3 linked regions of the Arabidopsis thaliana genome follow. The protein of the gene in region 3 purifies or fractionates together with the protein of the main gene of each other region. This does not show direct contact. Each region holds a gene or a part of one and is shown on either strand. Other genes may lie near its edges.

Region 1 (4,108 bases), about 16 Mb from region 3:
TACTCTACCAAAACTTGAGATTGTATTAGTCACTGATCTTCTTCTACTTGTTTTAGATACTTGAACATGTTATCATTTGTAAATACATGTTAATCAAAGCATCATTTTTTGTTTGATTATGCTGTTTATCTTACATGGGAATCTGTTTATCTCTCTCAATTTGCTGTTGCTTGTTTCAGATCCGTTTGCTGATGCGAATGTTGAGGACTCAGGTGCCGGAACAAAAGAATACGTTCATATCCGTGTCCAGCAGCGAAATGGTAGGAAAAGCTTGACAACCGTCCAGGGCCTGAAGAAAGAGTACAGCTATACCAAGATACTTAAGGACCTCAAGAAAGAGTTTTGCTGCAACGGCACTGTGGTTCAGGATTCAGAACTCGGACAGGTAGGTTTTATCAAAACACTCTATTGATCCATGTAGTGGAAAGTGGATGATAATATTTCTGTCGTTAGTGCCTGCTTGAACAAACCAGAATGATTTGGCCTCTTATCTGAACATTTGAGCTTCTCTGTTTTAGTTTTGTTTATGGTTTGTGTTGATTTGTAGGTTATACAGCTTCAAGGTGACCAACGTAAGAACGTCTCCACATTCCTTGTCCAGGTAAATATCAATAACTCTACGAGTCTCTTTACTGCTAAAACATACAAACTGTGTAAGATGATTGTCTGATCTCACTGTTTCTCTGTAATCACAGGCTGGTTTGGTGAAGAAGGATAACATCAAGATCCATGGTTTCTAAGCTATCTAGTGGATCATATTATTAATAAAACCATATCTTTTTCTTTCATCTCTTGTTGCGAATTTCGGGTTTGATTCATCAAAATCGTCTTCTTCCTAGTGTTCTTCTTCTGTTTGGTATTCGAATTTTAATGGCTTATGTTCACCATACTTCTTCCCCTGTTTTCGTGTTACTCTGTTTCACATCTTACTTATCTTATAATATCAGTTTGTTAAGATAATTCTGCTCTAACTTGTTATAATTTTTCTCTACAATGGTTCATAGTTTTAAAATTATATAAGGACCAACCGGAAGTTTATACGGTCGATACTTTCCAAGTATACCAAATTGCAGGTTTTAGTTTGGACCACAAAAAAGTTCAATGATCAAAAAGGCTGATGTATCTTCTCACTAGTAATAATAATTCATAAGCACACAAATAATGATAAATGAACTGTCTCTGTCACTAGTAAAGTCCAAATGCCGTCTCTATCGTACAAAGATATTTCACCTTCTTGTTGTTCGTGTCACCACACACTCACTGCAACTGGCTACAGATGTTCCCAGATAAAAGCTTCGAGATATTTTTTTATACATTTATTTTGATCCATATCACAATATTAATTGCAAAGTTTTTTCCCTTTTCTTCAAGAAATAGAGCAATCCGATTCAGTCAATTCTTTGAAGTTATAACAGTAATCAATTCGCCATTAATTTTATACATTTAATCAATGTATAATATAAGTATTTTTCTTTCATAAATGGGGGAAAAAAATAGAGATAGTTTTTGACCAAAAAAAAAATAAAAAAAAATAGACATAGTCATTGGAGATGGTTTTACTAAATTTGGGCTTGTTCAAGAGAAGTGTCTTTTCTTCATTCAATCAGAACCGTGAAGAAAGGAGATCGTTACTTTCCATTGATGGCTAAAAATTAAAATAATCACGATAAATATTAATAATACAAAAAACAATTAAAATAACAAAAAAAGATCAAAAATTCTCTAACCCTTCATTCCTTATCTCTGACGTGGCCATCAATCTTCAGATTTTCTTCTTCTTCTAATTTAAATACTCAACAACCACTCTTCACTTCACCATCAGCATCACTAAACTCGAACCCTAAAGAAAAACAAAAATGGCTGCCATAGCTTCTACTCTCTCTCTTTCTTCAACCAAACCTCAGAGACTTTTCGATTCTTCCTTCCATGGCTCAGCCATCTCCGCAGCTCCTATCTCCATCGGTCTCAAACCACGATCTTTCTCCGTTCGCGCCACAACCGCTGGTTACGACTTGAACGCTTTCACGTTCGACCCGATCAAGGAATCGATCGTGTCACGTGAGATGACGAGAAGGTACATGACGGATATGATCACTTATGCTGAGACTGATGTCGTCGTCGTTGGTGCTGGATCTGCTGGTTTATCTGCTGCTTATGAGATCAGTAAGAACCCTAATGTTCAAGTTGCCATTATTGAGCAATCTGTTAGTCCTGGTGGTGGTGCTTGGCTCGGTGGTCAGCTTTTCTCCGCCATGGTAAGATTTAGATTCATTTGCATGTGTGATTTTGTTGAAGTTTTGAGTTCTGTTTCTGTTTTAATGGAGAATTAGGGTTTAGATTGAATCATTATGAGTATTGATTGCTTGTGCTTATGGTAGATTGTTCGCAAACCAGCTCACTTGTTCCTTGACGAGATTGGTGTGGCTTACGATGAGCAAGACACCTACGTTGTGGTTAAGCACGCGGCTCTGTTCACATCAACCATCATGAGCAAGCTTTTGGCTCGTCCTAATGTGAAGCTCTTCAACGCTGTGGCTGCTGAGGATTTGATTGTGAAAGGAAACAGAGTTGGTGGTGTGGTGACTAACTGGGCTCTTGTGGCTCAGAACCACCACACACAATCGTGTATGGACCCTAATGTTATGGAAGCGAAGATTGTGGTTAGCTCTTGTGGTCATGATGGTCCTTTTGGAGCTACTGGTGTTAAGAGGTTGAAGAGTATTGGGATGATTGATCATGTTCCTGGGATGAAAGCTTTGGACATGAACACTGCTGAGGACGCTATTGTGAGGTTGACCAGAGAGGTTGTTCCTGGTATGATTGTTACCGGTATGGAAGTTGCTGAGATCGATGGTGCACCGAGAATGGTGAGTATTCTTGACCTATATATGTTTGATTTGGTATCCATAGTTTTCGTTAGATCATGTCCTGAGTTAGTTTGTGGTGATGTAGGGACCAACTTTTGGTGCTATGATGATATCGGGACAAAAGGCGGGACAACTTGCTCTTAAGGCTTTGGGGCTACCGAATGCTATTGACGGAACTCTCGTTGGAAACCTAAGCCCGGAGCTGGTCTTAGCCGCAGCAGATTCAGCTGAAACCGTAGATGCTTAAAATCAAAAGGTTTTAACGTTAAGAAAAGTTTCCCTTGATCCTTCGGATGTTGAAGGAGTGCAATAAAAGGAGTTTAGGTGTTTAATATGTCTTGAACTTTTCTGGTGTCTTTGTTTCTCTCTTCTGAACTTCTGTGTAAAATATCGTATCCGTTCATTCGTAATGCGTATGTTCTCGTTCTTCTCCTTCTTTATGGCTCTAGTACAAGCAGCTTTCTCGTTGTCGTTGGCAATACAAAATCTGTCTAAATTTGAGGGATGAGATTAGTGTTGGATGTCGGATTCTTGTCTTCAATTCTGATTCTTATCCTTGAAGAAATTATGTATAGATAGAGCTATTCAATGTCTATAGTTTCTCTGCTGATGAAAGAACGAAGAGTTTTATGATTTTAGATTCAGAGAACAGAGGAAAACTGTGAAATAGAAAGAAAAAAGTTTTTACATTTCTTTTATGAACATATATATATATATATATATACTGATGTCTGACCTGGAATTCAAATACTCCATCCTTATTTACATATATAATCCGACTTAGAAGTGCAACAATGAGTTTAGAAATGACATCGATGATAATTCTTTTGTGTGCTTTTTTTTTGTTTTGGTTTGTGAAACAAATATTACAAAATGTGTGGATTTGTATGAACAGTTTACAACGAGAAGTTGTTGTGTAAATTGGGCTCTTTTCTTCAGAATTCTTGCCACCCAAGGAATCGTTAGTCACTTTTTTGTCGCCGGTTTTGTGAGTTATCAAATATGTATAAAAACATACAAAAACGCTACTACTCGTGAATCTTCTGCAATGCTATTTCTTGGCCTGAAATACCAAAAACAGAACAATCAGAGAGTTATAAGATAGCTAAAGAAGGATCATACACAAACTCATAAGAGTATAAAGCAAACCTTTTTAAGATACTTCTTGTGAAGTTTCATTGCACCAGTACAGGCTTTTTTAGCATCCAAGTTTCCGGTTATGTCGTTTAAGATCTGAGCAA
Region 2 (3,702 bases), on a different chromosome or scaffold from region 3:
CTAAGGGTGGGTTGATAACCCACAGCAGAAGGCATTCTACCCAATAAGGCGGATACCTCGGATCCTGCTTGTACGAAACGGAAGATATTGTCGATAAATAGAAGTACGTCTTGCTCATTAACATCTCGGAAATATTCTGCCATAGTTAAGGCAGTCAGACCAACTCTCATACGAGCTCCTGGCGGTTCATTCATCTGACCATAAACTAGGGCCACTTTGGATTCCGCAAGATTTTGTTCATTAATGACTCCAGATTCTTTCATTTCCATGTAAAGATCATTTCCTTCACGAGTCCGTTCGCCTACTCCACCAAATACGGATACACCACCATGAGCTTTAGCAATGTTGTTGATCAATTCCATAATTAGTACTGTTTTACCCACGCCAGCCCCACCGAATAGTCCAATTTTTCCCCCACGACGATAAGGGGCCAAAAGATCTACTACTTTAATTCCTGTTTCAAAAATCGATAATTTTGTATCTAATTCTATAAAAGCAGGCGCGGATTTATGGATAGGAGATGTTGTGCGAGTATCGACAGGACCTAAATTATCAACGGGTTCCCCAAGCACGTTGAAAATTCGTCCTAGAGTCGCTCCGCCGACTGGAACACTTAGAGGATTTCCCATATCAACCACGTCCATTCCTCTCTTTAAACCCTCTGTCGCACTCATAGCTACAGCTCTAACTCGATTATTTCCTAATAATTGCTGTACTTCACAAGTCACATTAATTTCTTGACCAAGAGTATCTCGACCCTTAACCACCAGAGCATTGTAAATATTAGGCATTTTGCCCGGGGGGAAGGCTACATCCAGTACCGGACCAATGATTTGGGCGATACGTCCCAGGTTTTTTTTTTCACGTATCGAAACCTCTGGATTTGAAGTAGTAGGATTTGTTCTCATAATAAAAAAAATATGTTAAATTTTGTTACGAATTTTTTCGAATACAGAAAAAATCTTCGATAGCAAATTAATCGGTTAATTCAATAAAAAGTGGGAGTAAGCACTCGATTTCGTTGGTCCCACCCAAGCGGATGTGGAATTCAATTTTTTATTCATTCAATGAAGGAATAGTCATTTTCAAGCTCAACTAACTGAAACCTAGTTTTAAAATAAAAAATATATGAATAAAAAAATTTTTTGCGGAAAGTCTTTTATTTTTTTATCATAATAGGAATAGGCAAGCCTTTGTTTTATCTAGCGAATTCGAAACGGAACTTTAGTTATGATTCATTATTTCGATCTCATTAGCCTTTTTTTTCGTATTTTCATTTTAGCATATCCGGTTATGCGTCCCATTTATTCATCCCTTTAGCAACCCCCCCTTGTTTTTCATTTTCATGGATGAATTCCGCATATTGTCATATCTAGGATTTACATATACAACAGATATTACTGTCAAGAGTGATTTTATTAATATTTTAATTTTAATATTAAATATTTGGATTTATAAAAAGTCAAAGATTCAAAACTTGAAAAAGAAGTATTAGGTTGCGCTATACATATGAAAGAATATACAATAATGATGTATTTGGCGAATCAAATATCATGGTCTAATAAAGAATAATTCTGATTAGTTGATAATTTTGTGAAAGATTCCTGTGAAAAAGGTTAATTAAATCTATTCCTAATTTATGTCGAGTAGACCTTGTTGTTTTGTTTTATTGCAAGAATTCTAAATTCATGACTTGTAGGGAGGGACTTATGTCACCACAAACAGAGACTAAAGCAAGTGTTGGGTTCAAAGCTGGTGTTAAAGAGTATAAATTGACTTACTATACTCCTGAATATGAAACCAAGGATACTGATATCTTGGCAGCATTCCGAGTAACTCCTCAACCTGGAGTTCCACCTGAAGAAGCAGGGGCTGCGGTAGCTGCTGAATCTTCTACTGGTACATGGACAACTGTGTGGACCGATGGGCTTACCAGCCTTGATCGTTACAAAGGACGATGCTACCACATCGAGCCCGTTCCAGGAGAAGAAACTCAATTTATTGCGTATGTAGCTTATCCCTTAGACCTTTTTGAAGAAGGTTCGGTTACTAACATGTTTACCTCGATTGTGGGTAATGTATTTGGGTTCAAAGCCCTGGCTGCTCTACGTCTAGAGGATCTGCGAATCCCTCCTGCTTATACTAAAACTTTCCAAGGACCACCTCATGGTATCCAAGTTGAAAGAGATAAATTGAACAAGTATGGACGTCCCCTATTAGGATGTACTATTAAACCAAAATTGGGGTTATCCGCGAAAAACTATGGTAGAGCAGTTTATGAATGTCTACGTGGTGGACTTGATTTTACCAAAGATGATGAGAATGTGAACTCCCAACCATTTATGCGTTGGAGAGACCGTTTCTTATTTTGTGCCGAAGCTATTTATAAATCACAGGCTGAAACAGGTGAAATCAAAGGGCATTATTTGAATGCTACTGCGGGTACATGCGAAGAAATGATCAAAAGAGCTGTATTTGCCAGAGAATTGGGAGTTCCTATCGTAATGCATGACTACTTAACAGGGGGATTCACCGCAAATACTAGTTTGTCTCATTATTGCCGAGATAATGGCCTACTTCTTCACATCCACCGTGCAATGCACGCTGTTATTGATAGACAGAAGAATCATGGTATGCACTTCCGTGTACTAGCTAAAGCTTTACGTCTATCTGGTGGAGATCATATTCACGCGGGTACAGTAGTAGGTAAACTTGAAGGAGACAGGGAGTCAACTTTGGGCTTTGTTGATTTACTGCGCGATGATTATGTTGAAAAAGATCGAAGCCGCGGTATCTTTTTCACTCAAGATTGGGTCTCACTACCTGGTGTTCTGCCTGTGGCTTCAGGGGGTATTCACGTTTGGCATATGCCTGCTTTGACCGAGATCTTTGGAGATGATTCTGTACTACAATTCGGTGGAGGAACTTTAGGCCACCCTTGGGGAAATGCACCGGGTGCCGTAGCCAACCGAGTAGCTCTGGAAGCATGTGTACAAGCTCGTAATGAGGGACGTGATCTTGCAGTCGAGGGTAATGAAATTATCCGTGAAGCTTGCAAATGGAGTCCTGAACTAGCTGCTGCTTGTGAAGTATGGAAAGAGATCACATTTAACTTCCCAACCATCGATAAATTAGATGGCCAAGAGTAGATGAATTAGATTTAGTAATTCACGTTTGTTTTATTAGTTTAATTGCACTCGGCTCAATCTTTTTTTTACTAAAAAAGATTGAGCCGAGGTTATCTGTTGTATATACTATTTTTTTTGATAGATACATACTTAAATTTAGATAGAAAAAAAACTCTTCAATAAAAAAAAGAAGATTAAACACAACTACAATTTTGTTATTGTAGTGTTGTGTCCACAAGAAATCCTATACGAAACATGGATTCTTAATTCTTAGGAGTGTTATATTCTTTCGTGTCAGGGCTTGAACCAAGTATCCCCGCTTCTTCTACCCCATCCTGCATGTTGTCCTTTTCTTTTCATTCCGTATTGGAATAAAAAAAGTTTTTTTTTATATTAGTATACGAGATTTTACTAAAAAAGTTCTTAATATTCTTATATTCATAAGCGAAGAACAAATATTTCTTTTTTTTTTATGAGAATTTTACACAATATAAGAAAATCCTTCTTTTCATTTAGAATTAAAATTGATTCATTTCAATTACTTTACTTAATAATCTTAGCAATTGCATCGATA
Region 3 (4,488 bases):
TTTCTTAGGTCTAAAAAAAAGAGTCAAACTAATCTCAAAAACGATTCTCTACAAAATCAATCAATCTCAGAAGTCTTCTCTCTCTCTCTCTATCCTCAAACAAAGTATGGCCCTTTATCCTTTCTTCATCTCAATCTTCATCTTCTCTTTGACCCTCTTCACTACGACGACCCATTCCCTCAACGAACCCGACCCGGATTCGATTTCCACCGTTTACGAACTCCTCCCAAAGTACGGTCTCCCAAGCGGTCTCTTACCGGACACCGTCACCGATTTCACCCTCTCCGACGATGGCCGATTCGTCGTTCACTTGCCCAATTCCTGTGAGATTGAATTTGACTACCTCGTTCACTACGATAAGACCATATCTGGTCGTATCGGTTACGGTTCAATCACCGAGCTCAAGGGTATTCAGGTGAAGAAATTCTTTATTTGGCTCGATGTCGATGAGATCAAGGTCGATCTTCCACCTTCTGATTCAATCTACTTCAAAGTTGGCTTTATCAATAAGAAGCTTGATATTGACCAGTTTAAGACTATACATTCTTGTCACGATAATGGTGTCTCTGGCTCTTGTGGAGATTCATGGAAGAGTTTTCTCGAGGTAAAGATTAGATCTTTGCGTTTTTGGGGCCGTAAATTTGGTTGATATGATTGAAGATATTTCTGGGCTTTAAGGGTTCTTGAGGATTTATAGGAGATACTGATAGATTCTGGAATCTCTGAGTTTCTGGGTTCAAGTTGCACTGACCATTGTTGGATTTGTAGATTGTTTCTTCATTTCATTAGGCATTGATTATGGGTAAATGCGTGGGTACATATAATATATATCTGTTGAATGCAATTTACACATTGACTGAGGAACAACATGAACATGGCAGCTTTCTCAAAATTGAACCACAGAAGGCTTAAAAGCAAAGTCTTTGGAGAATCAGACTAAGCTTGAGAAAGGGTTGAAATTTATCTATCTAAGACTTGTGAAAAGAAACTGTATTTAATGCTTTCACATTGCTGGTTTTTGAGGGACATACATCATTGAAAGTTGAAACTGATAGTAGCAGAGTTTTTTCCTCTGTTTGGTTCTCTTTTGTTCTTTTAGTTCGTAGTGATAGCTTAATGCGTAGCTGAGAAAAGTGGAATGCTGTTTGTTTATAATACTAAAGTAGGTCATTCTGCATTTCTTGCAATGTCAGTTGTACAAGCCTCTAGCAAATGTTTTCCGATCTTTGATGGTTTTTGTCTGGTTCTTGAAATGGTCATTGCCTTAGATCCTTTCAAACCAGCCAACTCGCGAAAGTGATTCAGGCTGGTTTGTAGGGAATTGGTGGTACCTGCAATTAACAGAAGCTTTTGTTTTTCTCAGAAAGGGCAAGGAATGATGGATGAAGCGGAAATGTTAATCACCGAGTAAAACACTCTTGGCAGTCACAGAGTCTGCGACAACACGCAGATAGAGTTGAGTCTCTAAGTCATGTTTGTACATATACATACAATAACTAGACAAGTCTTTTCTGTAAGACTTGGTATGAAATGTCGATATATCCATTATGTACGTCTTGTTAAAACTGGTTTCCACGAAAATGTTGTATCTCATGACTAAATGTCCCCGAGTTCGTTCCTCACCACCATAGTTAGACTGTGTGGCCGTTAAGCTCCTTACTACTAGTTGTTGTATCATGTATGGCATAACGAATGGAAGATGCATTCTAAGAGCTGATAGGTTGTTTCATATATTACATTAGAAGGTGATCTGCTTGAGAACTTGATCTGTTTGACTCTTACCAGATTATACTAAGAATACATTCAAGTTCGGAATGATCTGCTTGAGAACTTGATCATTCTCGGTGACCGTAAGGGTTTTAGTGGCTGTGATGAAGGAAAGGGCTGAGCACAAGCCTTGATGTACATTGATGTCCTTGTTGATGTGATAGTGGAATGGTTTTGAACTACTGATTCGAGAGTCATGGTGGCTGAGATATGCCGAACAAGATGGCCGAGAGTCTTATAGCAAACTTATTTTCTCCATTGGTAACCAAAAAAATCCGGCCTTTGATTATGCCTTGGATTCATAAGCATTTTAGACCGATGCCCGAACTCGTGATTTTGAAGACTTTCTCGTGATTCTGCAATTCTCCCATGTTTTTTCTAACTTACAAGCTGCAAGACGACAAGAAATACACCTTATTTTAGGGAGGCGTCCACGTAAACCCGAAAGCCCACCCGGTGCTTTTCTTGTTTGTCTTTGCCTTTGCCTCTGCTTGCTAGGAAAAATAAATAAATATCACAAGTCCCTGATTTTGACTGGCTAAGATTCAACGGCCATTTTCCATCTTACAGACCCAATTCTTGTTTTCTGTTTTGCTATAACAAACCAGGGTCAGGGTTTTATCTTCCATATTCTTTTCCCACTGATTCTTACAATCGATCTAAGGGAATCTACGAACTGTTTGGTAATTTCTGGTGGGAAAAGTCTTGATCTTGCTGTTTGGTTTGGAGTAATGGTGAGTGCTTGGTTTGTTGTTGGCTCACCGGTGATGGACTCTTCGAGCAGTCCATGTTTATGTCTGGATGCTCACACGACGGGTACCATCAGGAGGAAGAAGATCCTTGGCAAAGCAAGAAATCTGGAATTAGGAAGCTCTTTCACTGGCTCACGCATTGTTTTTAGGCTTTCTCCGAAGCGTGTATCGAGAATTGCGAATCGAAAGAGCAAAAAGCTCTTGATTGTGAATGAGGATGTTGCTGGTAATTACGACGATACCTTCGGTGATGTACAAAAGGTGAGAGAACTTTTGCATGAACCCTTGTTTTCATAGACAAAGATTTGACCTTTGGCAATAACCTTATTATGGATGGCTGGCTTTCGATTTTGTAGCAAATTGTTAATTATTTTACATACAAAGCTGTGAGGACGGTTCTTCATCAGCTGTACGAAATGAATCCTCCTCAATACACTTGGTTCTATAAGTAAGTTTCTTATGCTTTATCATTTGATTAAAGTTCTGTATAGGATTAGATTTAACAAAAACACTTTACTCCGATCATTTTTGCCTTGTGGTCTTAATTATGTTTCTCCTTTGTTGTAAAACAGTCATATCATAACAAACAGACCGACGGATGGCAAACGTTTCCTCCGTGCCCTCGGCAAGGTAAACAAGTTTAGTTTATATCTCACATGAACAAGCATCATCTGTAAGATGCATTAGGTCTAGTTGAACAAGTTCAGCTGGTATACTATAACTAGCCGAGGACTGAATGTAGCAGATTGTAGCTGTGGTGAGTTGGTTAATGAGCAGTTAGTGAGGGCTGAAGTTTATAAGACTTGTCTCTGATTTGGTGTATTGCAACAGAGATAGCAGTTCCATAGATTTGTTCTTATTACAATCACACTGTGTTGTGATAAATTATGTTTGATTCAACCTTGTTTAGAGCTTGGTATTTAAACACAGACAATTGAGTTTGATTTTTTTTGTCTTAACTACTTGTAGGAGAGTCAGGAGCTTGCAGAAAGAGTGATGATCACGCGTCTTCACTTGTATGGCAAATGGATCAAGGTAAAATCGCTTGCTATATCTCGCTCCAGTTTTGGTTTATGTGTTTTTCCCTTCCTGCCATGGGAACCAGAAAAGACTCAAAAGTTAATATTGTATAGTTTGTTGTGTAGAAATGCGACCATGGGAAGATATACCAGGAAATATCGGATGAAAACTTGGCGTTGATGCGTGAACGCCTGATGGAGACCGTGATATGGCCTTCCGATGACACAAACTCAAGGTAATAGGCTGAAGAAGACAGCGCACACCACAGCACAACATTTGCTTTGTCAATTTGCTTCTCAGTTTTTAGGACTTCGAGTTTTTTAGTTTGATTACATATTACTATAGTGAAAGAGCAGTGTGTATATGATGTCTATTCTTGGCATGTACTATATGATATTAGGGGCAAAAAACAACACCCTTCTTGTGCTCCTAAACTTACTTTCTCAGTCATCTCTTACGCTCACACCACTCACATTAACATTGGTAGGCTCAAAATGATAATCACAATGCCAATCTTCTCATTTTGCAAATAAAGAAAAGAAAATAATAAAAATTGATTACTAGTTTTGAGTATTGACAACCTTTATAAGCAAGCAACAACAGGCTTGAATGCAATGACGTGGTCATGATTAAGGAAAACAGCGGTTGGTCCAAATCGTAACACTTGTCCTCGTAACAACTTCAAAACCTGGTTTGACTTATATTACAGTCCTCACTCATCACGGAACCACGCCGAAAATTCATGGCGAAGACTAGCATTTTTGCAGCTCTACCCTTTACCAACTTCGAATTCCCGTCGCTGTTCCGTGTCAAGAACTCTTCGATTATCAGTTTCAGCGAAACCCATTTTCTCCGACAATCAATTTCGACCGCAATCGTAAGATCTCCGACTAAGAGGGGAATTGTGTCCGTCTCATGTTCTTCCGTCACGGACGAAGCTTCTTCTGAA

The links.
Region 1: the proteins of RbcX2 (region 3) and THI1 purify together in Arabidopsis thaliana (affinity purification with mass spectrometry, with the first as the bait; one study listed by BioGRID). This does not show direct contact.
Region 2: the proteins of RbcX2 (region 3) and rbcL purify together in Arabidopsis thaliana (affinity purification with mass spectrometry, with the first as the bait; one study listed by BioGRID). This does not show direct contact.

Annotation. Positions count from the first base shown.
Region 1 is NC_003076.8:22,244,778-22,248,885, forward strand, and holds THI1 (thiazole biosynthetic enzyme, chloroplast (ARA6) (THI1) (THI4)), read left to right. Parts: upstream 1-1,741; 5' UTR 1,742-1,856; coding exon 1,857-2,255; intron 2,256-2,378; coding exon 2,379-2,867; intron 2,868-2,952; coding exon 2,953-3,114; 3' UTR 3,115-3,555; downstream 3,556-4,108. Other genes in the region: AT5G54760 (Translation initiation factor SUI1 family protein), read left to right, coding at 180-385, 548-601, 696-740; AT5G54780 (Ypt/Rab-GAP domain of gyp1p superfamily protein), read right to left, coding at 3,919-3,930, 4,017-4,100. UniProt on the Arabidopsis thaliana protein: Involved in biosynthesis of the thiamine precursor thiazole. Catalyzes the conversion of NAD and glycine to adenosine diphosphate 5-(2-hydroxyethyl)-4-methylthiazole-2-carboxylic acid (ADT), an adenylated thiazole intermediate.
Region 2 is NC_000932.1:53,249-56,950, forward strand, and holds rbcL (ribulose-1,5-bisphosphate carboxylase/oxygenase large subunit), read left to right. Parts: upstream 1-1,709; coding exon 1,710-3,149; downstream 3,150-3,702. Other genes in the region: atpB (ATP synthase CF1 beta subunit), read right to left, coding at 1-908. UniProt on the Arabidopsis thaliana protein: RuBisCO catalyzes two reactions: the carboxylation of D-ribulose 1,5-bisphosphate, the primary event in carbon dioxide fixation, as well as the oxidative fragmentation of the pentose substrate in the photorespiration process.
Region 3 is NC_003076.8:6,711,456-6,715,943, reverse strand, and holds RbcX2 (Chaperonin-like RbcX protein), read left to right. Parts: upstream 1-2,006; 5' UTR 2,007-2,498; coding exon 2,499-2,780; intron 2,781-2,875; coding exon 2,876-2,967; intron 2,968-3,091; coding exon 3,092-3,149; coding exon of another isoform or gene 3,150-3,179; exon of another isoform or gene 3,180-3,488; coding exon 3,489-3,554; intron 3,555-3,664; coding exon 3,665-3,778; 3' UTR 3,779-3,972; downstream 3,973-4,488. Other genes in the region: AT5G19860 (transmembrane protein, putative (Protein of unknown function, DUF538)), read left to right, coding at 107-604, 1,364-1,411; AT5G19850 (alpha/beta-Hydrolases superfamily protein), read left to right, coding at 4,282-4,488. UniProt on the Arabidopsis thaliana protein: Chaperone involved in RuBisCO assembly process.